4 linked regions of the Notamacropus eugenii genome follow. The protein of the gene in region 4 interacts with the protein of the main gene of each other region in a biochemical or structural test. Links are inferred from orthologs where the notes say so. Each region holds a gene or a part of one and is shown on either strand. Other genes may lie near its edges. The genes, in order: SGK1, PRKCA, TBC1D10A and NHERF2.

Region 1 (7,005 bases), on a different chromosome or scaffold from region 4:
GGTAGTAGAGGAAAGAAGGCAGACATCTGGAAATAAAGAGATGTTAAAAAAAAGAGATCAAAACATTTTCAAATATGTATGTATACATGTATACAGATATATTTAATCTTTTTTGTTTTACATCTCATCTACCTTACACTCAGGTTCAAATCCAAAGCCACATTTGAGAAGGAGAGGATTTAAAAAAAAAAAGGCATGAATCAACCACCAAAAGGAAGGAGAAAAACATTCCACTTCAAATTGAAAACACATCATTCAAGAGATCTCATCACACATTGAGGTTTTCCATTAGAATGAGGTGGAACACCAAGGTTACAGTTTCATAGAAATTACTCTGTCGTTTTAAAAGGGAATTGGAAGGACAGTTGACCTTCAGAGTAGAAAGTGAGACTCATTCATCCTCAATAGGACTCTCAGGCTGAAGGGGGAAATATTGTGGGAGTTTCATTTCAGCTGGGCTCCGGCTCCCAGTGGAATGTGATGTTTCAGTAATGGCAAGATTCTGCAGCTACTGATGGCAGCCTGAGGAGAGGGTGTATCTCTTTCAGCTGCCTGCCAGAGGCGATAGGCCCAGCTCCTTAGTGCCAGTCATCATTACGTGAATGCACCCAGGGACAGGCATCCAGGCTGCAGGTTTGTGAAAACACAAGTAGGAGTAAAAGCGATGATGTCACCTTCCTCCTAACTGATACAGTGCAGTCAATTGGACCATTTTTTCAATTAGTCCACCTCATTCACAAGCCAGGGTTTTTAAAACAGTAATATTACATATTCCAGGAAAATCATATGCCATGTAAGCCTGCTTCAAAAAGAGATCTGGGCTGAATGGTGTAGCAGAGAATGAAATGACTGAATAAGAATCCGGAGATATAAATTAATTCTAACCTTGTTTCTATCACTACCTAGCTGGATGACCTCAAACAAATAATCTAACCTCCCTGGGCCTTGGTTTTCCTGTCTGTAAAGGAAGACAGTTACACTGGATTAGAGGTTCTTAGCCTACGGACTTTTTAAAATAAATTTTGATAATTATATTTCAACAGAATTGGTTTCCTTTGTCATCAATGGCTTCCTTCAGGACAGCTAAAATCTCACCTTCTGCAAGGTCTTTCCCGATCCTCCTTAATGTTAATGCCTTCCCCCTGTGATTATCTTCCATTGCCTTTTATTTATCTCGTTTGTATATAGCTGTTTCACATAAGTCTTCTCCATTAGATTGTAAACTCCTTGAAAGCAGGAACTGTTTCTGTCTTTATATCCCCAGTTATTAGCAAAGTACCTGGCACATAGCAGATATTTAATAAATGTGTATTGACTTGACTTATTTTTATACGTTTAAAAACATTACTCTGGTAAGGAATCCAGAGGTTTCGCTATACAGTCAAGGAGATCCATGAAGGAAAAAGGAAATAAGCATTTATAAAACACCTATGTGCTAAGTTCTTTACAAATATTATCCCATGACATAAAAAAGATAAAAAAGCCCCATACTGGATAATGATCGCTTTCTCTTGTAAACCTGCTTCAGAAACCTGCTCTTTTCCATTTGTTAGTAAATGGGGAACCTCTTGATTTAAAAGTCATTTTGATGCAAAACATAGATTTCCCAAAGAACCTATTTTTTTTTCCAATTAACACAGTAATAAATGACTCTCCTATTTGATTAACTCCATCAAATCACTAGAGTGTCCATTAGTGCATGGATGGTTTGGGTTATGAAATGTGCTGCCTTCAGTTCAAGTCAACACACTCCACTGAGAGCAAGCAACAATTCTGCTTACATTACATTTGTCTTCCAGAAAATTCAGTCTACTGAATGACCACGGTCCAGTGAAAACAACATTCAGTCTGAACGACAGAACCTGGGTTCAAATGCTGCCTGTGTTATCTTACCACCTGTATAACTTTGAGCAAGTTACTCAATCATTTATTTTATATTTCTACGCTAGGATGAGATGGGTTATGGTATAATGGATCAAAAGTTGGTTTTGAAGCCAGGAAGAATTGGGTCCAAATTCTGCCTGCCACACATACTGGCTATGTAACCTGGGGGAAGTTAATTAACCTCCCAATGCTCTAGGCAGCTCTCTGAAACCCTAAATTGCAGACAAGGTGTCGATTTGCATTGCTGGGGGGGGGGGACCTCCAATACCAGTGAAAGGATAGATCCAGTCCCAATTCCCTATCTCACAATGCCCTCAAACAGGGCTGTGTATCACACAGCAGGCATTGCATTTTGGATAAATTAATGCAAGTTTGCACATTTTCTGCATTTTGATTATGAGGTAAGGAGGTGGTGCAAAGTAGTCAGGTGATTTGCTGAAAGTCAAACACTGTAGCAGAGCCTATACATGATGCTAAATCTCTGTGATCCTAATGACCTATCCTGTCAAACAATGATATATACAGTTCTTATTTGGAGACTACAGAATGTTTGAGGTTTTTTAATCCAAAAAAGATATTCTAAGGGATTGTCAAAATCCAGTAGCAAAAGTGGCCAGATTAAATTATATGACTATATATTTCTATTTCAGTCATTTGATATATACAGAATAGCATAGATAAGGAAGCTTTGTTTCTATTTTTACTTAACTGGATCCCTTTAACTTAAAAAAGATGTTCTTTCCCACAGTCCAAAGGAGTTTGATCATTTCTTTCTAAGACTCACGGCCTTCAAATAAATAGCACTATTTGTACAAGGTATTCTTGTTTCCTTTAGTGAAAAATAATACAACAACCCTGTCTTATGTTCTTATTGTGACAAGTCAAGGGAGAGAAAGATAAAAAGGATATTTTGTCACCTTCAGGAGAAAAATTGGCAATTGGGATACCTGCGATTAAACATATTTCTTAACCTGAGGAAATCTTCTGGATAGTTTTATTGCCTTTCTCTCTCCATTTGGACACTTCACGAAATAAATCAAATTATATTTTCATTCAAAAGGCTTTTATTGAAGAAAATATAGTCAATTGTTTTAGAGAATCATGAAACTCAAAGTCGCCTGCATTTCATAAGGAAGTGAGCACATTTCTTTTTAAGGCTGTGACTTAAATGGTCCAAACAACAACAAAAAAGAGGGGTGTGGAGGGGGACTATTTTTGTATTCATCCCAGAAAGCCTTTTGGTTAATTTATCCTTGCTCAGTTATTCCTTTGCACTGTCTCTCTATGTATCTCTCTGCTTCTGTCTCTCACTCTGTCTCTCTCTCCTCTTTCCTCTCCTCTCTTTCATTCTCCTCTTCTCATTCTCCCCTTTCTCTCTCTCTCTCTCTCTCTCTCTCTCTCTCTCTCTCTCTCTCTCTCTCTCTCTCTCTCTCTCTCTCTCTCTCTCTCCTCTCTCTCTCTCTCTCTCTCTCTCTCTCTCTCTCTCTCTCTCTCTCTCTCTCTCTCTCTCTCTCTCTCTCTCCCCCCCCCCTCTCTCCTTCTCTCTCCCCTCCCTCCGCCCCTCTCTCCTTCCTGCTCTCTCTTCTTGCTCCCTCTCAGCTGCTTAACTACAGTTCCCACTGGAACTCGGCACAATCAAAAACAGCTCTCCTCTCCAACCGCGGCAAGACATCACTTGGAGAACCACTAACTGAAAGCCCAGGTTCTAGAGCGGGAGGGATGCAGCCAGGTAAACAGGAGGGACCTAGTCTCTCCTGTGCTCCTATTTAGATTAAAAAATAATACTACAAAGAGCCCGGCATCCTTCGGCGCCGGTTCCCATTACCCGGAGACTTGCCGCATATGGTCTGTGGGCTGCCACCAGGGTCGTGTAGCAGTTGTGTTTGTGAAATCGAGGAATGACTAAAAGAAAAACGATCTAGCCTATGGCAGCCGAACGCTGGAGAAGGTCTCCGCAGTAGCTGGTGCAGCAGAATGAATGAGTGAAGGGAGGACTCGCTGCCTGGAATCTGATGGTGCTGCGTCCGCCCCGCTCTCCTCGTTAACTGTCTCCAGAAGGGATACTGAGGAAAGCCGATGCACTAAGCCAGTGCCCCGTACCGGACCTCCAACTGTGCACTCTCCGCTGTGGAAGATGGTCAACAAAGACATGAATGGATTCCCAGTCAAGAAATGCTCAGCCTTTCAGTTTTTTAAGAAGAGGGTAAGGACGGGTCTTGCTCGATTTTCTCCCTTTTGTTTCTTTCTTTTCTTGAAATGCGTCTTTATGCCGACCTGAAGTGGGAATATTGCTCGGGTGACAAGCCCTCCCCCATAAAGCGGTGTGTGGAAGACTGGTGAATGAACTGAGAAATAAGGGCAGAGAGTACCTGCCTAAGGTGCAGCTGGGGGTGGGCAGGGGGAGGTGAGGAGAGGGGGATGGGCAGGAATTGCTAGAGACAGGGTCGGCTATGGAAAGAAAGATTCTCTGTCAAAACCAGAGATTCTGTACCTTTGAAAAACATAATTGGATCAAGTCCAGTTATAACTGTAGCTTTAGTTAGGGGCTCTTGAAGTATCTCTCTCTTTCTCCTAAGTCTGTCTGTCTCTGTTTCTCTGTCTCTCCGTCTCTCTCTCTTCCCTTTCTCTCCCCTCTCCATGTTTGAAGTATTCAACTTTCTTCCTCCTCTCATTCACTTTGTCTAGAGTGCTACATTACCGTCCTCACTCAGCAGGAGAAGTACCTCTGGGGTCCCCAAATCATCCAACCTGTAACGGGCTGTGTCTCTAGCCACAGCACCAATTCATGGGAGAAGATGTAATTCAGAACTGAGTCAGTAAAGGGCAAGCATGACCTCAATCAGAAATATTGAAGGCCATCCTTCAAGAGCTCTCTTTGAATTCCCCTGTGTTCTGGTTGAGCTAATTTAGTACAATTACCTTTGGAGGTTTTTTTCCGGAGGAGGGGGGGAGCTTTTTTGTGAGAGAAAGCAGCAAGGGTCTGGATTTGACCGATACCTCAGTGTTTATTATACATTAATGCATTTTTTTAAATGTGCACACCAGAATATCCAGAGCATTTCACTGTGCTCCATTCGTTGGGAATGGGCAGAAAAAGGGAAATATCATTTTCCTTTCTGTTTGACGATAAAATTATGCCATTGTGCAGACAGCATAGGTGGTCTACATAAACCTACATATTAATGTCCAAGTAGGAGGTAAGCCGAATGGGTTTGTTAAGTGGCCCAATGACATCAGAAACTCCTTAATGAAGAGTGTTTCTTAGGGAATGACAGCCTGACCCCACCTCCTTCCCATCGTGTTTAATACCCTGGGGCAGCCCCATCAAAATTATTTTGTTCATTCATTCTTTCTGTCCTCCATTCATGTACTCTCGGTGAGATGCCAGGAACAGAAATGCAGTCACTCACTTCATTTAACCCGCCAGCACAACACAATGAAAGGCAAGTCAGTTGAATTATGAGCAGGGATGAGCAAACTCCCTGCACCAGAGAAGCAAGCTGGAAAAATACAAGCAGCTTGTCAGGAAAAGATGAGAGGGTTGGAGAGCTTTTTTTTTTTTTTTTTTTTTTTTTTTTTGCCAGACTTTGATTTATTTCTCATTACTGAAGTCACATCATTCCAAAAGGTCCTGGGGGCAAAAGCAAATGCATGGAAAAGAATATTATTTCTCTGTTAGAAGATGCTTGTGCAAGAGCAGAGGCAATAAATACCAGGTGATGCCTGTTACCAGGGCTCTGACTGATCCCTAGGAAGATCAAGTCACCACAACTAAATGGATCTTTACGGTGTCTCTTTGCCTACCTCTCTCCCCCAATATAAAAATAAAAATCTGTCCTTGAAAGATAATGGTGGTCACATATATCAGCAGTCAGTGAACCATCTGCTAATAAAACTATCCTGTTTCTCCCTGAAATAATTCTATTAATTCATCGTTTGTTTTTTTGGGGGGTGGGGTGGGTGGGAGGGATTGTTTTGTATTTTTGCTTTAATAGTTTTAAGAAAGCAGGTATCCTTATTCAATTGTACCATTACAGAATCGTTTTGGTTTTTTAAAAAGTTGCCTTTCATGTATCTTGCAAAGGAAATGTGCTCATTGCAATACTAATTAACCATCTGCTGCCCTTCTGCTAAAAACCACAAACTACCAAATTACCCATTTGGTGCTATATCAATCCTTGATACATATGTGTGTGTATACATATGTATATATGTGTGTGTATACATAAGTATGTATATATATGTATACATTTAAATAGACCAAGGGAATTTACCTACCTTTTATTTGGGGTGGATAAAAGATGAGAATGGAAGCAAAACAAGTTACACCAAGATGACTAGCCATGTGTTTGATCTGCCTACTGATCTGTACCTATCAGATTGCTGGAAGTAGAGACAGGGTTTCAAATACTCTCCCACTCTTTTTTTGTCCTTTGTCCACTAAAAGATGACGAGGATATCACCATGACTAGGTAGGTAGAGCTTTCAACTTAGGAGTTAGGTTCCTTGATTTTTCAATGACATCATACCCTAAGTCCTATATTTTCAAAGTTGATTCCAACTTATGATAATAGATAGCATTAAAATAGGAAAAAAAATCTTGGAGATCATCTAGTCCAAGGCTTCATAATCTTTTTACCATGGTTGCCTTTGGCAGTCTGGTGAAGTCTATGTATATTGCTTCTTAAAATAATGTTTTAAAATAGGATTACAAAGAAAACCAATTTTGCTGAAGTACAGTTATCAAAATACTTAAAAAAAGTAGTTCAAGTGTGTCCAGTTAGAAACGTCCAAATTCTAGTTTCTCATTTAACAAATAAAGAATGGAGACCCCAAGACCTTACATTTCTTGCCTAAGGTTATCCAGTTCCCAGAGTGGTGTCAGGACTGGAATTCAAGTCCTTTAAAACCAAATTTGCCACTCTGTCCTATTACTGCACTACTCTGCCTTGTTTCATGGTATTGGATTTTCCTAAAAGAATAATCCTTTTATTTTTGAATTCTATGGTTGAGATTCCAGGCATAACTGCATATCATGTTTTAACCTAGTTGGAAAATCTTGTAAAATGAATCTTTGTTTGGTGCCCACGGAGAATTCTGGATAAGTCCTGAATGAAAACC
Region 2 (7,410 bases), on a different chromosome or scaffold from region 4:
ATCTGTTGTTTGCACTTGAGATGAATAATCATTTAATATTTACTGAGTTAACCTTATGTACAGACATGGGTTTTTAGGAATCATTTGATACTATCTGTATCCAGAGTAAAAACGGTGTCAAGATAAAAACAACTTAAAATAAATATTAAGTTGCAAAGCAGTTCTCCCCCCCCAAAATAGCTGAATTAAAACTAATTCAAAAATGCAGATTAGTTTAGAGTGCTTTCTAATATGATACACTAAATAGAAACATTTAGCTTCACTGCTTCAAGACGCAAATAAAAACTTTGGGAAATGTAGAAACTATAAATCAACTGATAATTAGAAAATGTTACTAGAGCACACTAGTATAAGTGAAATTAGTAACTGAAGCAATTGTCTAGCTATGAGGTCAAAAGAAAAAAGAAAAGAAGGAAGAAAGCAAGGAAAGAAGAAAGAGAAAAGAAAAAAACTTTTACCACAAACATCTAAATAATTGAAGTAACAATAGGGGCAGGTGAATTGTTTGAATTGTCTGGATATTTTATTGTCCATTTCACTTTGCCTGTCAACTCAGAAGAGTTTTGTTCCTTTAGTCTCTGATACTAGGAACATATAAACTAAATGATGCACAGTGGAATTCAGAACTAACCAGAAAATAGAGTTCTGTTTTTAAGGGATGTAACAATAAAAAATGAAGCATTAAGAGCCTGAAGTAAGCAAAAAATACCTCCATTAAATAATGGAGATAGAAAGCATACTCTTACAATATTTGCTACTTTCCTTTGCTCTGATGCTCTAACTTATTTCATATATTTCACATATATTTCATATATTTACATCTGTAACTATCATTGAGTATAACAACTTCATTCAAATTATAATTTCTGATATAATTTCTTTTTCTTAGAGTGCTATTCTTTTTAGAAGGATGACAGCACTAATCCACCAATTTGAGTCAAATGCCCAACACTGACATTTACACTGAGCTACTGTATTTTTAACCCCTTTGGGACAACAAGATGCCTATAAGAAACAGCTGGCTGGAGTTAGGATGTAGTTTCAATGTAGGTCTTTTAGAGTATAGAATTAAGGATTTACTTCATTTAGCAAAGTATTGCAGACTGCCTACATTTATGAACAAGAGACAGAAAAAAATGTATAAAGTAACAATTTGGGGGGAGGGGGAGGAAGAACTACTTTCCTCCACCTAGTAATTTTATGCCCAATTGTATGTATCTTTAGTTTTAAATAATTATCAGGTGCTTTTATTCCTTATAGCATTTTTCTTAAATAAAGAATCTTCTCATCTACAGACCTGTAAAACTAATCTGGGGTTGACAGGGTCTATTTTAAATTCCTCTTGTCCTCTGCCTACTCTGTTTTAATGCACCTCTGCCCCCACATGCTTGCAACAGTTTGCTCCTCTATCTCTTTCTTTCTCTCTCTCTCTCTCTGTCTCTCTCTGTCGCTCCGTCTGTCTCTCTGTCTCTCTGTCGTTCTGTCTCTCTCTCTGTCTCTCTGTCTCTCTCTCTGTCTCTCTCTCTCTCTCTCTGTCTCTCTCTCTCTGTCTCTCTCTCTCTGTCTCTCTCTCTGTCTCTCTCTCTCTCTCTCTCTCTCTCTCTCTCTCTCTCTCTCTCTCTCTCTCTCTCTCTCTCTCTCATTCACTCTCTGCTTGCTTACTCAGAAAAGTCGAAATCTTTCTGTGCCCAGCAGTTATAAGCTACAGTAGGCGGGGGCACAAGGTTCAGTGGAGTGGAAGCTGGAAGGAAAGGAACACGCATAGAGTCAACACACGCCCTCTAGCAAAGAAGAGGTTTGGAATGAGTGACAGCACAGTTGCAGCAGCTCCTCAGTTTCTCCTGTGTGCGGTTCTCCTGACAAGACTACGGAAACTCTTCTCTCTTTGGCTTTTTAATTTTTTTCCTTGGCCCACAAAGCCACACATCATTGCTCTACAACCTGTGCGAGTGTGCGCATGTGGACGAGGGCAGCCTGAATTTATCAGCGTCTGTGTGTGTGTGTGTGTGCGCGTGTGTGTAAATGTCAATGCTTGGCAGTGCCAGCCTCTATTTCATAGCCTGCCAGGGAATGCCAAAAAGAAACTGTCAGGGTAGACCTCGCCAGTGGGTTTGTCACCGCGTGGAGGGGATGTCAGTAAAGTGAATGATAGTAGGTGTGGGTGTGTTTGTATCTTTTAGTGTGTGTCCATTGGTGTTTCTCCGCCACTAAGCTCTGTGGGCGGATCAGCCTGCGTGTGTGTGTGTGTGTGTGTGTGTGTGTATACATTACTGTTGTTCAGCTTTCCCTGAGGTGTGAGTGAGTGTGAGTGAGTGAGTGTGCATGGGCGTGTCAGCTGAGTGCCAGGGCGATGAGTGTGCCCAGGTGTGAAAGTGCAACTGCCCACGGGCACTTCGGGTTGAGTACGTCGGTGACTGTGCCTGTCCCGGTGCCTCTCTCTACCACCACCCTCCCCCACCGCGCCCCGCCTTTACCCCACACTTCCCCTCTCCCCCGCCCTCCACTCTCTCCGACCCCAGTCCAACTGGGGCGTGCGCCTACCAGATGAAGTCAGTGCAATGGCTGCAGAAGGTGGGCTGCTTGAAGAAGCGGGCGATGAATTTGTGGTCCTTGACTTCGTGCACGTTCTTCTGCCTTAGCGCCCCTTTGCGGGCGAAGCGGTTGGCCACGTCCTGAGACGTGGTGGAGTCGTTGGCCGGGAAAACGTCGGCCATGGTCCCCCCCAAGCCACCACCTGCCTCCCCTGGGAAAGCCGGAGCCCGACGAGGGAGTGGGGAGGCAGGAGGGGAGCAAGAGGTGCCGGACACCTTCCCTCCAGTCCCCGGGAAGAAGGCAGGGCAGGAGCCCTGGGGCCAGGTGGGGGACCAAGAAGTCCTGGCTGGAGAGGAGCGGACGGTGCCCGATCCGACGCGGCCGGGGCAGCTGCTGCTGCCTCGGCGGCCGCCGCTCCCGGGGCCGCCGCCGCTGCTCCTGGCGTTCCGGCCGCGGGGAGCCCCAGGTGCGGAGCCCAAGCCGCCGCCGCGCTCGCGCCCTCGCGATCTCCACTCTCACTGACAGCCCGGCTGGCTCTGCACAGGCTTCCGACTCAGCAGCCGCGGCCGCGGGAGCAGCGGGGCTCCTGGGGCTGCTGCTGCTGAGGCGGCTGCTGCTGCTGCTGCTGCTGGGGCTGCTGCTGCTGAGGCTGCTGCTACTCCTGCTGCTGGTGGTGGTGGCAGCAGCCTGAACCGGCCCCGCCGACTGAGCATGCCCAGAGAGTGCGAGAGTGTGTGCGAGTGTGTGTGTGTGTGTGTGTGTGTGTGTATGTGTGTGTGCGTGTGTGTGTGTATGTGTGTGTGTCCCGGCTCCTCCGGTGCAGGAGTTAGTCATGGGGCGGATTCAGAGTCTCCATGTTTTCACCGCAGCCCGGAAAGGGGGGTGGGGTTGGGGGCGTGGGGGCAGACAGAATTTGCAAGGGGAGGACGAGGAGGAAAAAGGGGGAGGAGGAAGAGAAGGAGGAGGAGAAGGAGGATGCATCTCGGGGGGCGGATCTGTCCGCCTTTTTCGTTTGCTCCTCTTTTTCTGTCTCTCCATTTCAGTCTGCTTTTCCTTTTCCTTCTTCCTTTGTCGTCTCCGGAGTTTTCGGCGCATAATCTTGGGGCTAGGGACGATCTTGAAGATCATATTCCAATCCCCTGCTGTTGCAGATGAGGAAACTAAGGTCTGGAAAGGTTGAGTGACTTGTCCAAAGTCATACAGCTACTTAACTGTGTGTTAGACTTGAACTCCCAGAGTCCCAAACTAGCACTCTTTTCACAGTACCACGTAATACCAATCTTGCTTGAGACAGTGTACACTGCCAGGATTAATAGGTAGACAACTCAGTTTTCAAACCTTCTCTCTCTGTGTCTACCGGCCTTCTGTCTGTCTGTCTCACTCCTTCAAAACCCCTGACTCTGGGTTATTGTGAGGATCAAATTAGATAATATTTGTAAAGCGCTTAGCACATTGCCTGGCAGGTAGTTGCTATATAATATTCCTTTTACTCTGCCTCTGTTTCTGTGTGAGTGTCTCTTTCAGTCATTCACACAGCTGGTAAATATTTCTACACTTCCTCCTTCCTCATCGTTATAGGAATAGGGTGAGTTGGTGTTGATTGGGTTCAGTACTCTTGTTTGTACTTCTCTATGATGTGACACAAGATATTTCAATTTCTAATATTTGTGCATGTCATGAAATTTTCTCCTGCATAAGGTAATATATATATATTTATACATATATATATGTGAGGGAAGGTATTCATTTTTAAAAACTGAATATTGAACTTCTTAGCTACAACTCATTAGCTAATATACAAAAAAAAAAAAAAAAGAGGGTATACAGATATCTGGCTGGTTCTTTCACTCATTTAGTCCCCAAAGTGGAGGTTGTATCCTCAGTGGACTATAGCATGACTTCAAAGCAGGCTGTGGCATAATTCTAAGGGGTAACTAATAGGAAGATGGGAAGATAGGTCTCAGCCCTGTGACAGCTAATTGCTAGCTAATTGTCTCCAAGGTAATTCCACACACTTTTTCATTGCCCAACACTCCTCCACTCTGTTCTCTCCCAGGCTGGCCTCCCATATCTGTGGTCAATTGCTGGGGTCTTCAGACCCTGGGGGGGGGGGGGGTAGTTATAACCAAACAGAGACTATGAAACCTGCACTAATATCCACAGGCAAAATTTCCCCACCCCACTGGACCTGCCCTTTCTTCCCCCATCTTGCCTCAGGCACCCTTTTCGAATTTTGTGTTCTAGAAGGTGCCCAGGGGCTGGTGAATAAGAGCTGTCATTCCATCCTGCTTTTTATTTTCCATGGGACAAAGTGAGTAGCACAGAATGAATAGAAATGAATAGATTTCGATCTGCATCACTGATCTTGTTCCATTATCTTTCCCCAAAACCCATTCCTCAGAACTTTCCTATTTCTATAGAGGATACCTCCAAATCCTTACAGTCAGTCATGTTTAATTTAAACTCTCTGTCATCCTTGACTTCGGACTCTCCTTCACCCTACGTATCCTGTACTGACAAATCCTATCAGTTTTACCCCCACACGATCTCTTCTGTTCATCCCCATTTCTATGCTCTGAAAACCACTTCCTTCATTCAAACCCTCATCATTTTTCGTAGCACTATTGTATTAACCTATTGATTGGTCTTCCTACCTCAATTTTTTCCCTTATTCCCATCAATTCACCACATAGCTAGCAAGTTGATATCCTAAAACATGTCTGAAGGGGCAACTAGGTGTCATAGTGGATAGAGTACCTGGCCTGGAGTCAGGAAGACTCATTTTAGTGAATTAAAATCTGGCCTCAGAAACTTACTAGCTGGGTGAGCCTGGGCAAGTCACCTAATCTTATTTGCCTATCGTCTGTAAAAAGAGCTGGAGAAGGAAATGGCAAACCACTCCATTATCTTTGCCAAGAAGACCTCAAATAAGGTCATGGAGTCACACACAACCCACAACAAAAGCAAAGACACCTCTGACCAGGTCACTGTGCCACTAAATAAACTCTACTGTCTTATCTATTGATTCTTACATCAGTTATTTCATTTTTGTCTTAAGATTTTTATTTATATTTTGCATTATATGCATAATTCCTAATATGTAGCATGTAGCTAACTTGTAAATAAGTAAATATAAATGTATATAAGGTGAATGTTTTAAATATTTCTTGACAGAGTACATGATCAAAAAGATTTGTAGACCAGTACTCTTTACAATGATTAATATCTATGTGTATATCTCATGATGAGTAATCGTGGTTAGTTATTATAATATATGTATGATAACTTAGGCACAATGTTGAAAGACTTCCTTTGTTTAATAAAAGATTCCAGACTCTTAATTTAGAAAATAATTTTGTATTCTAATATTAATTACTGTAGAATATCCTGGTACAAGGCATAACCAACACATTTGCAAATTACCAAATAAAACTGCATGAATAACAATAGTAGGTACTAACTAGCATGCAAAGACTCTACAGGGAAATATGGTAAGTATATATTCACCTGTTGAAAATTTGATAGTTTTTTTTTTGAGGATATAGAAACAGATGAGGGAAACAGACATCTCTTGTCCATTCTTAATTTTATTAATTTCCCCAAATTCAAAGACTGACAAACTCACAACAGCCTGAAAGAGAACATAGCCTCTCTTTTTTCTCCCTGAATTAATTCAAAGTAACTAGAGGAAAATAAACCACATTACCCCAGTATGTCCACAAGCAAGAATTCATTGCCAGTTTCATCATTGAGATTATTGACAATGAAGAGGATGATGACTGTGTAAATTAATCAAGGAATCTCAGAGTTGTTAAGGAAAGCCAGTGGCCATCTGGCTCAAAGAATTCTCTTATAAAGTCCCTTACCAGAGGTCATTCAGCCTCTATTTGAAGTCTTGCAATGAAAGGAAACTGTCTTCCAATATCTTGTTCTACTTTTGTACATTTCTCCCCATTAGGAAATGTTCTTTATACCGAGCTTAAATCTACCTCCTTCTAATTTCCAGTCACTTCTCCTTGTTCTGCCCTCTGTGGCCAAGTAGAATAAGTCAATTCTCCTCATCATAGCCCTTTAAAGTTATCAGTCCACTCTGAGTCTTTTCTCTTTAGGCTAAACAAACTGCCTTTATTTCTTCAACTAGTATTCATGTGGCATTTGTATAAAAAGTAATATTATAAACACCCCCTCCACCCTGGACACTTACTCCTGAGGCCTACACAGTCTTCCCTTAGTCCTAGCTCAGATAACAGTAGATAAATCCCAAATAAGTAGTAGGAGATAATTGCTCTGCGGGTTCAAAGGAAAGAAATAGAATTGTAGCTCTAATGTGTCATGCACTGTAGAATGGAATGTAACAGCTTGGAGTTTCCCAGAGGGGCCTGCTATGGGGATTCAATGCCCAAAACTTGAAACTACTCCAGCAATAAACTGTGTGCGTACGTGTGCATGTCCTGTATATGTCATATACATACATATATCACATACATATATGTATGGAACTGCAAATGAGCAATCAAAAACACTTTATAAAGATAAAATGTTTTCGTTCTAACAAAGAGTAAGGGATGAGAACAGTCTGTTCCAAGGACCATGAAGACAGCTGAAGCAGACACTGTAGAGCACTTAGAGCTTAGTCAGACATCAAAGACACCAAAGTCATCCCCTGCATCCCGGGGGCCATTATCAATCATTCTGAGTTTTGTCCTGCCACTGGACTTTGATGCCTATGGAAGAGTGAGGCCGACAACTTTGTACCACTCTGCCTCACTTAAAGCTAATTCACGGGCCAGTCAAAACATCACCCATCACCCACTGTTTTACCCCAACATTGTGATGTCATTGGTCCTCTTCAAAAACCAAGGATGAACAAAAAGAAAT
Region 3 (7,299 bases), on a different chromosome or scaffold from region 4:
CTGGCTACAAATGCCAGAAATAATCATTCCCTTTTCTAACCTCTCAAAGGATCAAAGCTCCTCAGCTCTACCTGTTTCACATATATGGCTGCACATGCATGCGTATCCACGCACATGCACACGTGTGTACGCGCGTGCACACACGAGGTTTGTCTGCAGCTCTCACCCCCTGGAAAAAACAGAAGAACCTGGGTTGTGACCCAACACCCAAAAAGCACCCCCCTGTCTACCTTCCTCCAGCCCTCAGTGGGCACTAGCCTCAGGCCTCCATCAGGTACAAGCCCCAGGGGTGTCTGGTATCGCTGTATGAACAGAAGTAAAGCATGGCACGCGGAGGAAATGAGGAGAAAGCTTGGCTGGGCTATCAATCCAACAGTGAGGGGTTACCCTGGCACAGTACCAGCAGGGGAAGCTGGAGTGGGTAGGGGAACTTCCCAGATCTCCCTTACAAAGGAAAGAGGATGCCTCCTGGGGTAGGTGGGCATCTTCTCTAAGAGAGGAGAGACTTGGGGAGGTAAAAGGCAGGGTGCCTAATGTAACCTCCATTGCCAGCCTGCCTCAGATGGCCTAAGAAATCTTGAGTAGGAAAGAGGGGTCAGGAGCTGGGGAAGGAGCTCAGAAATGGAGGCCAGAGGCAGGCACAAAGGGACACATTCCTGATGCAGGGCAAAGTATGCTTCTGCCTGGGAGAAGTTGTGCCTGCTGCTGCAGAGGGAGGGCCTGCCTGCCCGCCTAGGGCTTCCTGGGAGGTCTGGGGCAGATGAAGAAGTGGGAAGGAGAGGCATAGCCAGGGTGTGCCCACCACATGTGGCACAGATAACATTGGATGGGCTGGTCCAGGAGGGCACACACATCTGTCTCTTCACAGCTGGTATGTGAAGGGAGAGTTGGGAGGATGTCTCTATGCATGGGAGGTCAGCTTTGCCTTTGAGGGGCTGTGGCCTGGGCAAGAGGTCAGGTGATAGGTGGGTATATGTATGTCTCCTGCAAGTGCGCGTGGGGGGAATGAGGTTCTGGGCACCCTCTGAAGGGTGTGTGTATGTGATCCCTGGTGACCTGTGTTGGCTAGGGGATGGAAGGTCAGGCTGACCACAGAATACTTGTGGGGGTGGGGTTTGTCATGGTTCTCATCCATGCACATGTGTGTGCAGAGGCAATGGGGAGGGGGGGGGGGCAGGGAAGGCATCCGCCTTTCCTGGCAGTGTTTACCTGTTCCTAGAGCTGAGGGTTGGGAAGTTAGCTCTCTTCCCTCCCTTGGTGGGGGGCAGCGTAGAATTAGATCTGGCACTGGGGAGGGGGGTGCCCATACCAGCTGGGTATGAAACCCTCCCACATCTGTATCCTGGTAGTGGAAGGGAGAGCGGGATCAGAGCCCACCCATCCTCAGTGTGTGGCTTTGGGGGAGGCAGGGGTGTGGGGAATCTGAGGAGGGTCCTTGAGGAAGCTCCAGAGAGGTCTCTTACCTCCAGCTCTCTGTAAGGCAGGGTGGTCCTGGAGAACCGGAGGGACCTGAAGGGTGAGGGGGGCTCCCCGCTTGGGAGAGCATCCTCAGAGAGGGAGGAGACTGAGCCTGGGTGAGCGTCTCTGCCTCTCAGAGGGGGGATTCCCAGAGACCTCCAGGGAGGGGCCATGGCTGGCTGTGTCCTCACATACCGTTGGGAGTCCTGGAGCCCCTGAGAGCACAGGAGGGGCCTCCATCAGGAGAGGGGGGAGGCCACATTCCTGGAGGTGAGTCTGAGCTAAGGGGTCAGCTGCCCTGGGAGGCTGGGTGTGGAGCCTTACTCATTCGGGTCTTGGGGGTGGGGGGGAATTCCCGGGGAGGCTGGTCTCGGGAGGGGCAGGGGGCGTGGTGTCTGGGACCTCGGGAGGAGGGTCAGGTGTGCGGACGTCCTGGCCCCAGGGGGGCGCCCAGGGGCGATCCGGGGAGGGGCAGGGGTGCCCTGGGGGAGGGAGGACTGTCACGTGTGTGGAGTCACAGGCCCCCTCCCCCCCTGCCTGCGGAAGGGGTGGGGCCAAAGCGAGGAGGGGGATCCCTGGCACCGTCATGGGGGAAAGGGGTGCCTGCAATCTTGGGCTGATCACCGCGGGCGAGGAGAGTTTATGGCGAAGGGGAGGTTCTCAGAAGTATTGGGGGGTCACGGCGGGGGGGCAGTGTTCCAGCAGTCTCGGGGAGGGGGTCACGGCGGGGGGGTCACGTCGAGGGAGGGGGGTCACGGCGGGGAGGGGGGTGCTGGGTCACAGGGGGGGGTCACGGCAGGGAAGGGGCTGTTGGGTCACAGCTGGGGGGGGCTGTTCCAGCAGTCTCAGGGAGGGGGTCACGGCGGGGGGTCACGGCGTGGAGGGGGGTGCTGGGTCACGGCGGGGGGTCACGGCGGGGAGGGGGCTATTGGGTCACAGCGGGGGGGGGGGTCACGTCGAGGAAGGGGGGTGTTCCAGCAGTCTCGAGGAGGGGGGTCACGGAGGGGAGGGGGGTGCTGGGTCACAGAGGGGGGGGGTCACGGCGGGGAGGGGGCTGTTGGGTCACAGCGGGGGGGGCTGTTCCAGCAGTCTCGGGGAGGGGGTCACGGCGGGGGGGTCACGTCGAGGAAGGGGGGTGTTCCAGCAGTCTCGGGGAGGGGGTCACGGCGGGGAGGGGGGTGCTGGGTCACAGAGGGGGGGGCTGTTCCAGCAGTCTCAGGGAGGGGGTCACGGCGGGGAGGGGGGTGCTGGGTCACGGCGGGGGGTCACGGCGGGGGGTCACGGCGGGGAGGGGGGTGCTGGGTCACGGCGGGGGGCCCGCGGTACTCACGCGCCCGGGTCGCCCTGCGCGCCCACCAGGAAGCCGAACTTGTCGGTGCGGCGCTCCGCGAAGCCATTGGCCTCGGAGTCGGAGCCCAGGGAGCTGAGCTCGTCGGCGGCCGAGGCCGCGTCCGGGCCCGGGACCAGGCTCTCCCGGGTCCCCGAGAGGCTCCCGCCCGGCCCCGGCGAGCGCGGCCCGTTCTCCCCGCGGCTCTTCGCCATCGCCCGCCCGGCCCGGCCCGGCCCCGCCCGCCGCCTCCGCGGTCTCCTCGGCCGCCGCCGCCGCCGCCGCCGCAGCCGTCGTCGAGGCCCCCGCCCCCGGGCTCGTCCATTGGCCCGCCGCACCTCCGGGCGGGCCCAGAGCCGCGCCCCCGCGGGCGACCCCTCTCTGAGCCAATCGCAGCCCGGGATGCCGGGAAAGCCCCGCCCCCAATGCCCGCCCCTCCCCTTCCCCCCCCAGCCCGGAGCGGCGGGGCGGGCGCCGAGTCGGAGCCTCCCGGAGCCGGGCTGCAGGGCCCGCCCCCGGGCTGTCAGTCACCGGGACTCACCTGGACCGAGCCGAGGCTTCCCGCCTCCTCGGCCCGACTTCCGGGCTCTGCCAGACCCGCCCCTCGCCGCGCTAGGAGCGCCAAGCGAGATCGCCGGGTCCCTGCCTTACCCTGCGTGTCCGCGGGGCCCCAGCCCGGCTGCCCGGCCGCGTTCTCCCTGAATGACGCTCCTCCCCTCCCTCGTAACCCACCTCCAGACCTTTGCCCAGGCTGTACGCAGTGTCCACAACGCTCTCCCACATTAGGCCTTTCCCTCTTTCCCCTTGATGCGGGGGTCTCCTCCCTTCCCCCAATCCCCTCGCCCTTCCTTTGAGGTTACATGTAAGGAGCGTCTCCCCCTTGGAATTGAGGCTCCTTGAAGGCAGGGACTGTCCATGTGCCTGCCCCCCCCCCTGCCTAGCGCCTGTGGGGGGTCAGGGAGGGAAGGCGCTGGACTGGGGGCTCCCTCCTGCTCTGTCAGCCCCGCTCTTTCCTCTGTGGGCATCCCAGATGTCTTCTGAGCTCTCCTCCAGTTCTCACCTGACATCCTAGGGGCCTAAGGCTGGGGGAACTGGGAGGCCGGAGGGAATTCTGCTGGAGCCGGTGTACCTCCAGGTACCTCAGCTCTCTGGGCCTCAGTTTCCCCATCTGCACAAAGGGGAGCCAACTTGCACTGCCTGCCTCCCAGGGGTAGACCTCTGCAGTCATCCTGATGAATCTATCTGGTTACTGCACCCACATGGCTCAGGAGGAGAAAGTGGGACGGGTGACCTGCACAGCCCTCCCTCACTCAAAGTCCAGTCCAAGTCATGTCACCATTTCTCTGATGTCTCGGTCTTCTCCAAAAAGGAAGGACAGGAAGGACGAACACAACAATCTACCAAGACTATTGTGGGGAAAGGCGTCTCCATCTAGATACTCCCTCCTCCCTCTGTTTTCCTCTCTCTCCCTCCTCTCTCCCTCTCCCTCCCTCTCCCTCTCCCTCTCCCTCTCCCTCTCCCTCTCCCTCTCCCTCTCCCTCTCTCTCTCTCCTTCTCCCTCTCCCTCTCCCTCTCCCTCTCGCTCTCCCTCTCCCTCTCTCTCTCTCCTTCTCCCTCTCCCTCTCCCTCTCCCTCTCCCTCTCTCTCTCCCTCTCTCTCTCCCTCTCTCTCTCTCCTTCTCCCTCTCCCTCTCCCTCTCCCTCTCCCTCTCTCTCTCTCCTTCTCCCTCTCCCTCTCCCTCTCCCTCTCCCTCTCCCTCTCTCTCTCCCTCTCTCTCTCTCCTTCTCCCTCTCCCTCTCCCTCTCCCTCTCTCTCTCTCCTTCTCCCTCTCCCTCTCCCTCTCCCTCTCCCTCTCCCTTTTCCCTCTCCCTCTCCCTCTCCCTCTCCCTCTCTCCTTCTCCCTCTCCCTCTCCCTCTCCCTCTCCCTCTCTCCTTCTCCCTCTCCCTCTCCCTCTCCCTCTCTCTCTCCCTCTCTCTCTCTCCTTCTCCCTCTCCCTCTTCCTCTCCCTCTCCCTCTCCCTCTCCCTCTCTCTCTCCCTCTCTCTCTCTCCTTCTCCCTCTCCCTCTCCCTTTTCCCTCTCCCTCTCCCTCTCCCTCTCCCTCTCCCTCTCCCTCTCCCTCTCTCTTTCTCTCTCTCCTTCCCATCACTCCTCCTCCTCAGTGTCTCTGGCTGGATCTCCATCCCAGTCACACCCACTCTCTGGCCATATACCCCAGCCTTTTTTCCTTTCCCCTCTACATTGCCTGGAGACCTCATTAGGCAAGTCAGGTCAAGGAGCATTTCTTTATCATGCTGTAACTACGTGCTGGCTCCCCTAAGTTCAGTGGTCATCTCCATGGACACCACCAGATCTAACCCTGACCACTCTCTTCTGGGTCCACAACAGAAGTTACTCTCTCCCAGCTTCCCTCCAGGAAGGTCAAGGTCCCCTCTCTTGAACCCTCAGCTTTTACCCTACAAAGCCAATCTCTGACCAAATCTTAGCCTTTGTTCACCATACCTCTTTTAGGGAGACAACATATGTTTCCTTCTCCCCAGTCACCCAGTAACCAGCCTAGTTTTGGACCTCATTAGTCCCTTCTAGACTATTAAAGAGTCTGTTAATTGATCTTGGCCTCACCGTCTCTCTACTCTGATACATCTCTTTCGAATATTTTCCTAAAGCAAGTGTCTAATGGTAGTACTCCCCTACCCTATAAATTTCAGTGGCTCCCTATTCTCAGGAGAATCAAAAGCTCCTATTCATTACTGAAGGCCCTTTATCACCTTACCCCTTCCTACCTTTTCACCCTTCTCACACCTCATTGCCTTCAAGTCTCCACTGTCCAGTCCACTGGCCCCCGGCAGTTCCCCACCCATGCTACCTCTCCCACCTCTGTGCCTTTGCCCCGTTTCCAGTGCTTCTGGTGCTTTCCCTCCTCACCTAGATCTCTTAGAAATTCTTGGTTTCCTTTAAGACTCAGCTCAAATTCCACCTTCTGCAGGCCCTTCTTATCCTGTCCCACTCCCACCCCACCACCCAGATCTCAGACATCGCCTTATCCTCACTTTGTTCTTAACTTGTACATGCAAAGTTTTCTCATGGTCTTCCCAGTGTACTTCAGGCCAGGGACCCTGCTTCTGCCTTTCTTCATATCTCCAGCACTTACAGGGCCTGGCACACAGTTGGCAGTTAATAAATACTTGCTGACTGACAGCTTCACACCTCTGACCTGATCACTTGCTTCACCTGTCTCCCATACACAACCTCTGAAAACAGCTAATACAGATATCTCATCCAATTTACAGGAAACTGAGGCTCAGTGGTAAAGCCACTTGCCTCAAGAAGCTGGGTTTGAACCCAGCCTTTGCACCAAGTCCAAGTCAATGCTTTTTCACTAAACCAACCTGCCTTAGTTTCTTCATCTGTAAAAGGGAGGGTTTGTACTAGATGACATTAAGGTTCATTACTAAAAAAAAAAAAAAAAGTGGGGGGAGTGGAGGGCTTAGCCTGGGCTCCTGAGGCAAATGGAAAACAATCCACACTTTTAATGTAACTCTGGTGTTTGGTATATAGTAGGCGCTTAATACGTGTTTTAAAATTTTATTTTTATTTGCAATTGGAAATTCTCTTCCCACCCTTTGAAAAGGCAAGAAATATATTATGCATATGAAATCATGATTAATAAGTGCCTGCTGAATGGGAAATCCTGGGACTGTAGTCTGAGGGTAGCCTTCCTTTCTTGAGTTAGAAGGTACTTTTGAAATGCTGCAGTGGATACAGCACCAGTGCAGGAGTCAGGAGGACCTGAGTTCAAATCTCACCTCAGACACTTGACACTCACTAGCTGTGTGACCTTGGGCAAGTCACTTAACCCCAACTGCCTCATCCTGGGTCATCTCCAGTTATCCTCATGAATACATCTGGTCACTGGATTCAGATGGCTCTGGAGGAGAAGTGAGGCTGGTGACCTGCACAACCCTCCCTCACTCAAAACAAAGTCAAGTATAAGTCATGTCATTATTTCTCTGATGGCATGGCCTTCTTCTGCACGAAGGACTAACACACACTCATTTAAAGGTAAAGACCAGGAGACCCAGGAAGAGGAAAGGACTTGTCTGAATCCTTACCTGCCTTATATCAGTGAGGAAAGGGAGACCCAAAGCCTAACTTTGAACCCTGGCTTTCTAGTGGGCTCTGCTATTTGGTGGAACCTGGCAAGCTACAGTAGCCAGTGACCAGGGGAGCTAGGACTGGGGGATGATGGGAAGATCCCTGGTTTTCAAGTCAAGAGACGTTGCCTTCTGGCTTGAGTGACCCATGGGCAGCTCTCCCTTTCTGGGCCTCATTGGGAAAATGAGGGGGTTCGGTGAGGTGGTATCTAAGGTCTATTCCTGAAAATCTCAGGTCTCAGGAGCTCACTCAAGGGACCAGAGAGCCCAAAGCTCTTTGTTTACCCCAGCTCTTCAGCTGTTTCCGTGTTCTTGACTCCAACATTTTCGAAGGTTTCTTTGAGGCCTGAAAAAATCCCTG
Region 4 (7,480 bases):
TTGGGAGGCTAAGAGGCCTGGTGGCATGGCAGAAACAGCACTGGATTTGGTGATGGAGGACTGGGGATCCAAAATCTATCCTTGCCAGCTATTACCTGGGTGACCTTGGACAAATCCCTTCCCCTCTCTGAATCTTCTTCATTTCCTCATTTTTAAAATGAAGGGTTTCAATTAAGGTATCTTCCAAAGGTAAAATCCTACTCTAAGTTGGGAGGGAGGATAGGACAGGCCTTGATAGGGTTAGGCCCTTTCTCTAAGAAGAGCTTGGCATGTGGAGGAAGTGAAGTAGAGACTACCTGTGCCTTAGGGCTCTGGGAGGGTTGACAGGGAGGAAGAGGGTTGGGTTTAGAGAAGAAATGACTACTTGAGAGCCAGGGAGAGAGGGTGGGTCCTTAAGCTGGGCAGGCTGGGTTCAGTAAATATACTGTGAACAGGATAGAGAGAAGGAGTTTACTTTGCTTCATCCCCAGAGGGATGGTGTGAGTGACACAGCTCAGGAGAAATGATAGAGGGATGAAGGAGCAGAAGCAAAGATTTTTGACCTAGGAAAGAATCTGGAGCCTTAAAGGGAGTTATTGGGGGGAGAACGAGGGGAGGTCGAGATGCAGTGGAACTGAGGCCATAGTGCCTGGTATTTCTCCAAGAGGACTCCACCTTCATCACTGAACCTAGCTTAAACCTTGAAGATATGGGCTCCAGTCACCAGTGAGTGACCTGGGTGGAGCTAGTACCAGCTCAGTGAGGTATGGGGTAAAGAAGGCAGCAGTCAGAAGGTAATCCTCACTCCACCCTAATGGCCCTGCAGGAGTCATCACAGGAGTACAGGCCCTGAACTCAAGTATCTGGGGTCCCAGGTCCTGTTGTTCTGTTCCCCTTCCCCATTTTAGCTCGGCATGTACTAGAGGGGCCCAGGACCAGGTAGAGGAATACAAGCCAGGACTGAGAGACATAGCCCATAGAGAGACAGACCCTATAGACAATGTAGTATGAGGGAACCAAAGTAAAAAAGACCCAGGAGAACTGTGTTCAAACCTTGGCTGTGCTCTTTACTACCTATCTGAATTTGGGCAAATCCCTTCTGTTCTCTGGACCTCTAAAATGAAGTAGCATGGCAGGAGATGTTACCTAAGGTCCTTCTCAGCTTTAATGTTAAAATGTTGGAGCTGAATCAGGGTCCATCTGAAAACAAACTCATTGGACCAGGCCAGAGAGAAATTGATGACTTAACGTCCCACCAGCATTAGCCTAAGTGGCTTTTATGCCAAGGTAAGTGTGGGAGAGGAAGTACCATGTGGAAGTCCATTTAGCCAGGGAGAATAACCCGAAAAAGGGGTGGGAAATTGTTGCTGGGATGCCTAAAGATCCAAGACCAATAAGACAAACAATGATGCTGAGGTTGGCTGTGGGATAGCCCTTTCTGGTTAGTCTTTCCATTGGAGAGGAGCAGCTGTGATAAGTGGCTCTAATCCTCTGCCTTCATGGGGAATTGGCTGGGTCTGCTTTGTGGGACACCCTCGAGTCTGGTAAGTGTGTTTTTCTCTCTGCATATCTGGCTTTGTGTATCTTTGTGAACTAAAGGAGGAAGGGGACCCCCCGAAGAGAAGCCAGAGAATCCTGGGAAATCCTGGGAAAACCTGTGGAGAAGAGAGATAACTTGGGGGCTGTGGGATAGAGGCCTAAAGAGGAAAAGGAGGTGGACAGAGGCCTCTACAGAAAGGAGAGACAATGAGGAAGGGAACCTGAGAGTATGAAGAATGTAACACAGGTGGGAAAGACAGAACCCCTGGTGGTGGGAGTGGAAACCGGGGTTTTGCTCCAGGGTACCACTGATGGTAGAGGGTGCTAACAGCTAACAGCTCTTTTGGTTATTGGACAGTGTAGAAATAACAGAGGTCAGTACTTGGTTAGCAGGAATAAATTAGTCAAGGTTAAGAAGCTTTCAGATGGTGGGCCTGGGTGAGCTCCTCTGGAGTTCATTTGTTTTCTGTGCTTTCCCCAGGTGGAAAAAATTCCTGGGCAAATCTGAAAGGTTGGAGAAGAGCTTGGAGGTTAAAGAAATTCTCCTAACACAGCAGGTATTACTGTCACTATGAACACACAGTCAGGGGTTACTCTCACTCACCCACAAGCACTCATAAAAATCCATTTGGAGGGTTCATCTGAGGGGCCAACATTTCTTCCTTTAATAAAGATGAGAACATATACAGAAAGGCAAATTTTTACCCTTGGGGGGCATATTAACTCAAATGAAAGAGGCCACTTTTACTCAAGGGTCTATGATTTTCTTAAGGTACACTCTTCCTACCAATGACCCAGAACTCAAATCAAGTCTACACTGTGCTAAGTGCTGGAGAGAGCTGGAAAGGCAAAACTAGTCTCTGTCCTTGAGGGGCTCACAATCTAATGGAAGGAGACAATATGAAAAAAACATGTGCAAATAAGATGTGTAAAGGGTAAATTGCAGATAATCTCAAGAGAATTTCTCCATAACTTTGTGGCCATCTTTGAAAATTTTCATCAGCCTGAAGAAGAGATGAGAAAACGCACCTCTCCCTTTCTCCCTTCTTTGGTGACCTGGAGGACTATAGGTGGGGAAATAATTGCAGACTTGGTTGATGTCTTGGCTAGTTTTACCAAGGTTTCCCTTCCTCCCCCTTTGCTATTCCTTGTCACAAGGTATGGCTCAATGGGTAAGAGGATGGAGGGGTATATTCAGAAGATGATGTAAAACAAACAAAAGGTTGCAATACAACTTTTAAAACTGTGGCCAAAATACGCATCTCCCTAGAACCAATCTGGTGATGAGTACCTCTGAACTTAGTGACGCTGGGCTTTGGACAACCAAAGTTAGTTACCAAAAGTCTATACCCTTATTCTTTTAAGTGCTCTTTAGCTTTTTCTCCTAAGTCAGTTTTAGTGGGATCCCTGCAATCTTCAAAGCCTAATTATTAGGTTTAAATGAACAAGATTTGACCTGAAAAGCAGACTTAGCTAGTAAGGCTGGCCCATTCCAAAGGACTGAGGAGCAAAAAATAAACAAACTGAGAACTGTGGAGGAGTAGAAGGGAGTGATGGGATATTGGCTGAAGGGGGAGCATGGCTGATGAAAGTGTAGCAGGAGGAAGAGGGGGAGAAAAGAGGAGAGGGGAGACTGCTATCTTGTTGATCTTGAATCGTAGTGGCCATGGACAGAGCAATTTATTCCCGTTAGGGACCCTACCTTGCTCAAATCCAGAGCAGTGTTAGCCACGATCCAGAGAGGTTCTCCAATCCTTTCTGAGACCAAATAAATGCTAAAGCCCTCTAGGATGGGACTGTTCCGTTCATTATTATAAAGTGAGCAGAGGTGGAGAATTCTCCTGAAGATTGAGCAGATCCTTACGTCTGACAAGAAAACTACCCGCAAGAAATGTTTCCTTTTTGTGGAATTTGCTTCTTTCTCAGAAAAGAGAAGTCTTGCTTTGCTCTGCATAGAGAGAGTGTACCAGGCCCTCTGCCTTCCGCTCCCATACTGAGCTGGGAGATTACAAGGGGACTTGCCAAATGATCCTAGGAAGGGAATCCCTAGGAGATGAAAGGTCAGAAGAAGCAGGTGGGGTAGGGTTGGGAGAGGGGCACAGCCTGAATTATTCCCCAGCTGGGGAGGGTGGATGAAGTCTGAGATAAGAGACTAGCATTGCACGAAGAAAGAAACAGCCCTCAAAATGCCCCAGCAAGTGTATTTTAGAATGATTTAGGGACTGGGTGTGTGTGTGTGAATACAAGTGTGTCAGGGAGTGTGGGGGTACTGAAAAGGAATGGGGAAATGGGCTCGTGGAGACAGGGTGGGTGGGGTTAAGAGGATCTGGACTCTCAGGGACCTTCCTGAAAGATGGTGGGGATTTCTTTCAGGAATTGGTAAAGGAAAAGAAAAGACCTCTGGGAAGGAGAATTTTATACCAGGGAAACCTATCAGGGGATGTCAATGGAGTTAGGGTGAAAGGAGGCCGCAAGGCTGAAGCAGCAGAACTGGAAAAAGGACCTTAAGTTTTAAGTCACATACCAGGCAGCCTGTGATTAGGTACCTTCGGGGAGCAGTTGGCCCCTGTGCAGGACAGGGCTTTCTGATAGAGGACAGATTGGGTGTTATTAGAGGGGAGGGGTAGTGTTAGGAGTATTATCGAGGGATCAGCCTTTCCTCCTGCTTTGGAAACCTAGGAAGTAGGGTACCCCTTCCCCACCCCCTCCCGACACCGTGTAACTCAGGGACTGGCCTGCTCCGAGGCAGAAGGACGGGCCAAACGACCCCTCAAGTCCTTTCCACAGGGTACCGGAGTCTCCAGGCAGGTCCCCTTCCCCCATCCTGCGGCTCCGCCCCCGGACCTCCCACCCGGCGGGGGGCTACTGGGCGGGCGACCCGAGTCCCGGTGGGCCGGAGGAAAAGGAGGGGGTGGAGGAGGCGGGGCGGGGGCGGTGCCGAGCAGGAACCCCAGCCCGAGCCAACCCGAGCCCGATCCCGAACCCGAGCCGGAGCGGGAGCGTAGCTTACCCACCACCGCCGCTTGGTTCCAGCAGCCGCCTGTCTCCTTGCTCCAGCTCCAGCTCCAAGCCTGGACCCGTCCTTGAGGCGGCAGCAATCGCAGCCTCTGGTCCGGTCCGGTCCTGCTTGGTCCGGCCCAGCATGGCAGCAGAGGCCCCTACCCCTGGTCTCAGTGGTTTCCCGGCCCAGTGCAGCGTCCAGCCCCGCCTCTGAAGGACTCCCGACGGAGGTCCCTGGGAGCCAGGCGTCCCTGCCCCCCAGCCCGCTTCCCTTACACTAGTTGAACTGCGGCCCGGACTTCCCGGATTCTCAAGTTCTGCACTTCTCTGCCTCCTTCCGCCGTGCACCCCGATCTCCAGCAACTGAACCCCTCCGCACTGCACTCCGGAGTTCCATCCCCCGGATCCCTCAGCCTTGCCCCCGCCATCCCCCCAGACCTCCCTCCTCCCTCTCTTCCAGCTCTCATCCCCTACCCCCCTTCATTTTCCTCGTACCACATCCTCGGTCCCTCCGGGTCCCAGACCCCCCTAGTCTTGCGACCCCTTCCCGAACTCTCCAGCCCCAGGACCCAGGACTCGGGGTTCCTCACAGTCGCCCCCTCCCCTCCCCTGAGCTCGCGCCCCCAGCGGCGGCGCCATGGCCAAGGACCAACTGCGGCCCCGGCTGTGCCGGATGATCAAGGGGGAGCAGGGCTACGGGTTCCACCTGCACGGAGAGAAGGGCAAGAGTGGCCAATTCATTCGCAAGGTGGAGCCGGGCTCCCCCGCCGAGGCGGCGGCGCTGCGCGCTGGGGATCGGCTGGTGGAGGTGAATGGGGTCAACGTGGAGAAGGAGACGCATCTCCAGGTGGGCCCGAGATTGTGTGCCTGTGGGTGTGTGTGATGGACACAGAGGGTCCATCCTGTGTCTGTGTGATCGAACTACTCTTGTACGAGCCTGTGTTGTCATACCGTGATTGTGTCAAGGTTCAATAATGTGATATTGCGTGCCTGTGTGACACTGTGTTTATATGGTGATACGCTCTGTATCTATATGTGTATTACTAGGGGATATTGTATGTCCTTGTGGAGGTCTGGAAGGGAGCAAGGGGAAATTGTCAGGAGCTGGGAGGGTGATATAGTATGTGTAGCTAGCCAGCTCTGTGTGATTGTGTGGGTCACTATTTTGATGATGAATTCCCGGCTGTATCTATATTTGATGTAAAATACTGTATCCAGGTGATACTATATATAGCCATATATGACACGGTGTAGCTGTATATGACTGTGACACTGTGTGTAGCTAAGTGTAGCTGTGACTGCATTATATTGTATCCATGTGATATCATGTATAGTTAGCTATGTAAACAGTGTATCGTGTGATACCATGTGTGACCTTGTGTGATAATCCACCACATATAGACATACAGACACTGTGTGATGCTATATATGTATATACTACGGGACGCTGTAGATCTGCATGACCCTGTACTAGTATGTTACATTATATATGACACTGTGTGATACTGTAGATCTATGTGTGACAGTGTGATGTGACAATGTGTATAACTGTGACACTATCTGTATATGACTGTAAGACTTTTCTTGTCTATTCACACTCTGTATCTGTGTTTGGGTGTCAGAGACTGTGTTGAACACTGAGAAAGACATTGTTGTCCTCAAATCTAATCCAGCTCACAGCTCTCTCTAGCATCCGCCTGGGGAAAGTCTCCCTGTATGAGGAAGAGAAAAGTATCAGGAATCAGGAAATACCTGTCCCTAGGATGGGTGTCCTAGCCACTGTCAGTGGGTCCTGGAGATGGGGGTCCTTGTCCTGCAACTTGGCTCTGTTTGGAGAGGAGAGCTCTTGGGTTTGGACTGTAGGCTCTCCTGGCACCATGACTCATTAGTAAGGTAGGGGTAGTACAGTTCTCTGTAGATTGTGTTTCCCATGTGTATGTATGTTTGTATCTGTGTGTGTATTTTTGAAGAGGATATATGGGTGTATGAACACTAGACTTGGATTCAGGAGCTCTTGTTTTGTTATTTACTAACTGGGTGACCTTGGGTAAACAGTTTATCTCCCTGTTTATCTGTAAAATGGGGATGATAATGTTAGGACTTCTGGCCTCACGGGAATGTCATGAGGAAAGATTTGCAAGCTGTTTTATCTTAGTTTTTCCTGGTTGTGTGCACAGTGTGTGTATATGTGTGCTTATTTCAATATATGTGAGACAATGTATTATATAGTCTAATCTTTAGCTCCGAAGCTAAAGCTCCAGACACACACCCTGGGACTGCAGCTGGGGCCTTATACTTTTGCTTGCTCTGTCTTGGCAAACTGCAGCAATCTTAGGCAGGGCAGGGGTGGGGTTGGGCTCTGTGTGCATCTCTCCATCAGTCCTAAGGGAGAGAAGGTTGGGTAAGGGGCTTGCCTTATAGAATCAAAGAATGATGAAACAACTGGGGGGTATTTGACTTGGAGAAGAGAAGACTGGGGTAGGGATCAGGAGAGCCCCTTTCAAGTATCTGAAGGGCTGTCATATGGAAGAAAAATTAGACTAGATAGATCTGTTTGGCTCTAAAAGTACCAGGGCAATGGGTAGAAATTGTAGAAGCAGAATTTACAGAAGCAAAGTTAGCCTTGAATAAAGGAAAAACTGCCTAACAATGAGAGCTGTGGCAAAGTCAGTGGGCTAACTCTAGTGGAAGGCTTTAAATAGACTAGATGACTACTTGTCCATTGTGGTGTGGTGGCCTTGTATCTCTGGTATGGGATTGGATTGAGTGGCTGATGGGGTTCCTTCCAGCTCTGAAATTCTGTGATTGTAGGATTTAAGAACCGGAAAAGGACTTAGAGACCATGTAGTCCAGTAGTTTCCTACCTTTTTTTTGTATGGAGGACACTCTTGGCAGTCTGGTAAAAACCTCTTATTAACTGACCTCGTCTCAGAACAATGTTTTTAAATGCTGAAAATAAATA

Evidence for each region.
Region 1: the proteins of NHERF2 (region 4) and SGK1 form a complex in vitro, tested with the Homo sapiens proteins (2 studies listed by BioGRID, with this or other methods). The link is inferred for Notamacropus eugenii from reciprocal best matches to the Homo sapiens genes NHERF2 and SGK1.
Region 2: the proteins of NHERF2 (region 4) and PRKCA form a complex in vitro, tested with the Homo sapiens proteins (2 studies listed by BioGRID and IntAct, with this or other methods). The link is inferred for Notamacropus eugenii from reciprocal best matches to the Homo sapiens genes NHERF2 and PRKCA.
Region 3: the proteins of NHERF2 (region 4) and TBC1D10A form a complex in vitro, tested with the Homo sapiens proteins (2 studies listed by IntAct, with this or other methods). The link is inferred for Notamacropus eugenii from reciprocal best matches to the Homo sapiens genes NHERF2 and TBC1D10A.

Annotation. Positions count from the first base shown.
Region 1 is NC_092873.1:220,168,073-220,175,077, reverse strand, and holds the start of SGK1 (serine/threonine-protein kinase Sgk1), read left to right. Parts: upstream 1-4,003; 5' UTR 4,004-4,018; coding exon 4,019-4,087; intron 4,088-7,005. UniProt on the Homo sapiens protein: Serine/threonine-protein kinase which is involved in the regulation of a wide variety of ion channels, membrane transporters, cellular enzymes, transcription factors, neuronal excitability, cell growth, proliferation, survival, migration and apoptosis.
Region 2 is NC_092873.1:329,832,966-329,840,375, forward strand, and holds the start of PRKCA (protein kinase C alpha type), read right to left. Parts: upstream 3,011-7,410; 5' UTR 2,715-3,010; coding exon 2,542-2,714; intron 1-2,541. UniProt on the Homo sapiens protein: Calcium-activated, phospholipid- and diacylglycerol (DAG)-dependent serine/threonine-protein kinase that is involved in positive and negative regulation of cell proliferation, apoptosis, differentiation, migration and adhesion, tumorigenesis, cardiac hypertrophy, angiogenesis, platelet function and inflammation, by directly phosphorylating targets such as RAF1, BCL2, CSPG4, TNNT2/CTNT, or activating signaling cascade involving MAPK1/3 (ERK1/2) and RAP1GAP.
Region 3 is NC_092875.1:15,074,358-15,081,656, reverse strand, and holds the start of TBC1D10A (TBC1 domain family member 10A), read right to left. Parts: upstream 3,001-7,299; coding exon 2,789-3,000; intron 1,875-2,788; exon of another isoform or gene 1,547-1,874; coding exon of another isoform or gene 1,464-1,546; intron 1-1,463.
Region 4 is NC_092872.1:48,222,525-48,230,004, reverse strand, and holds the start of NHERF2 (Na(+)/H(+) exchange regulatory cofactor NHE-RF2), read left to right. Parts: upstream 1-4,466; 5' UTR 4,467-5,155; coding exon 5,156-5,365; intron 5,366-7,480.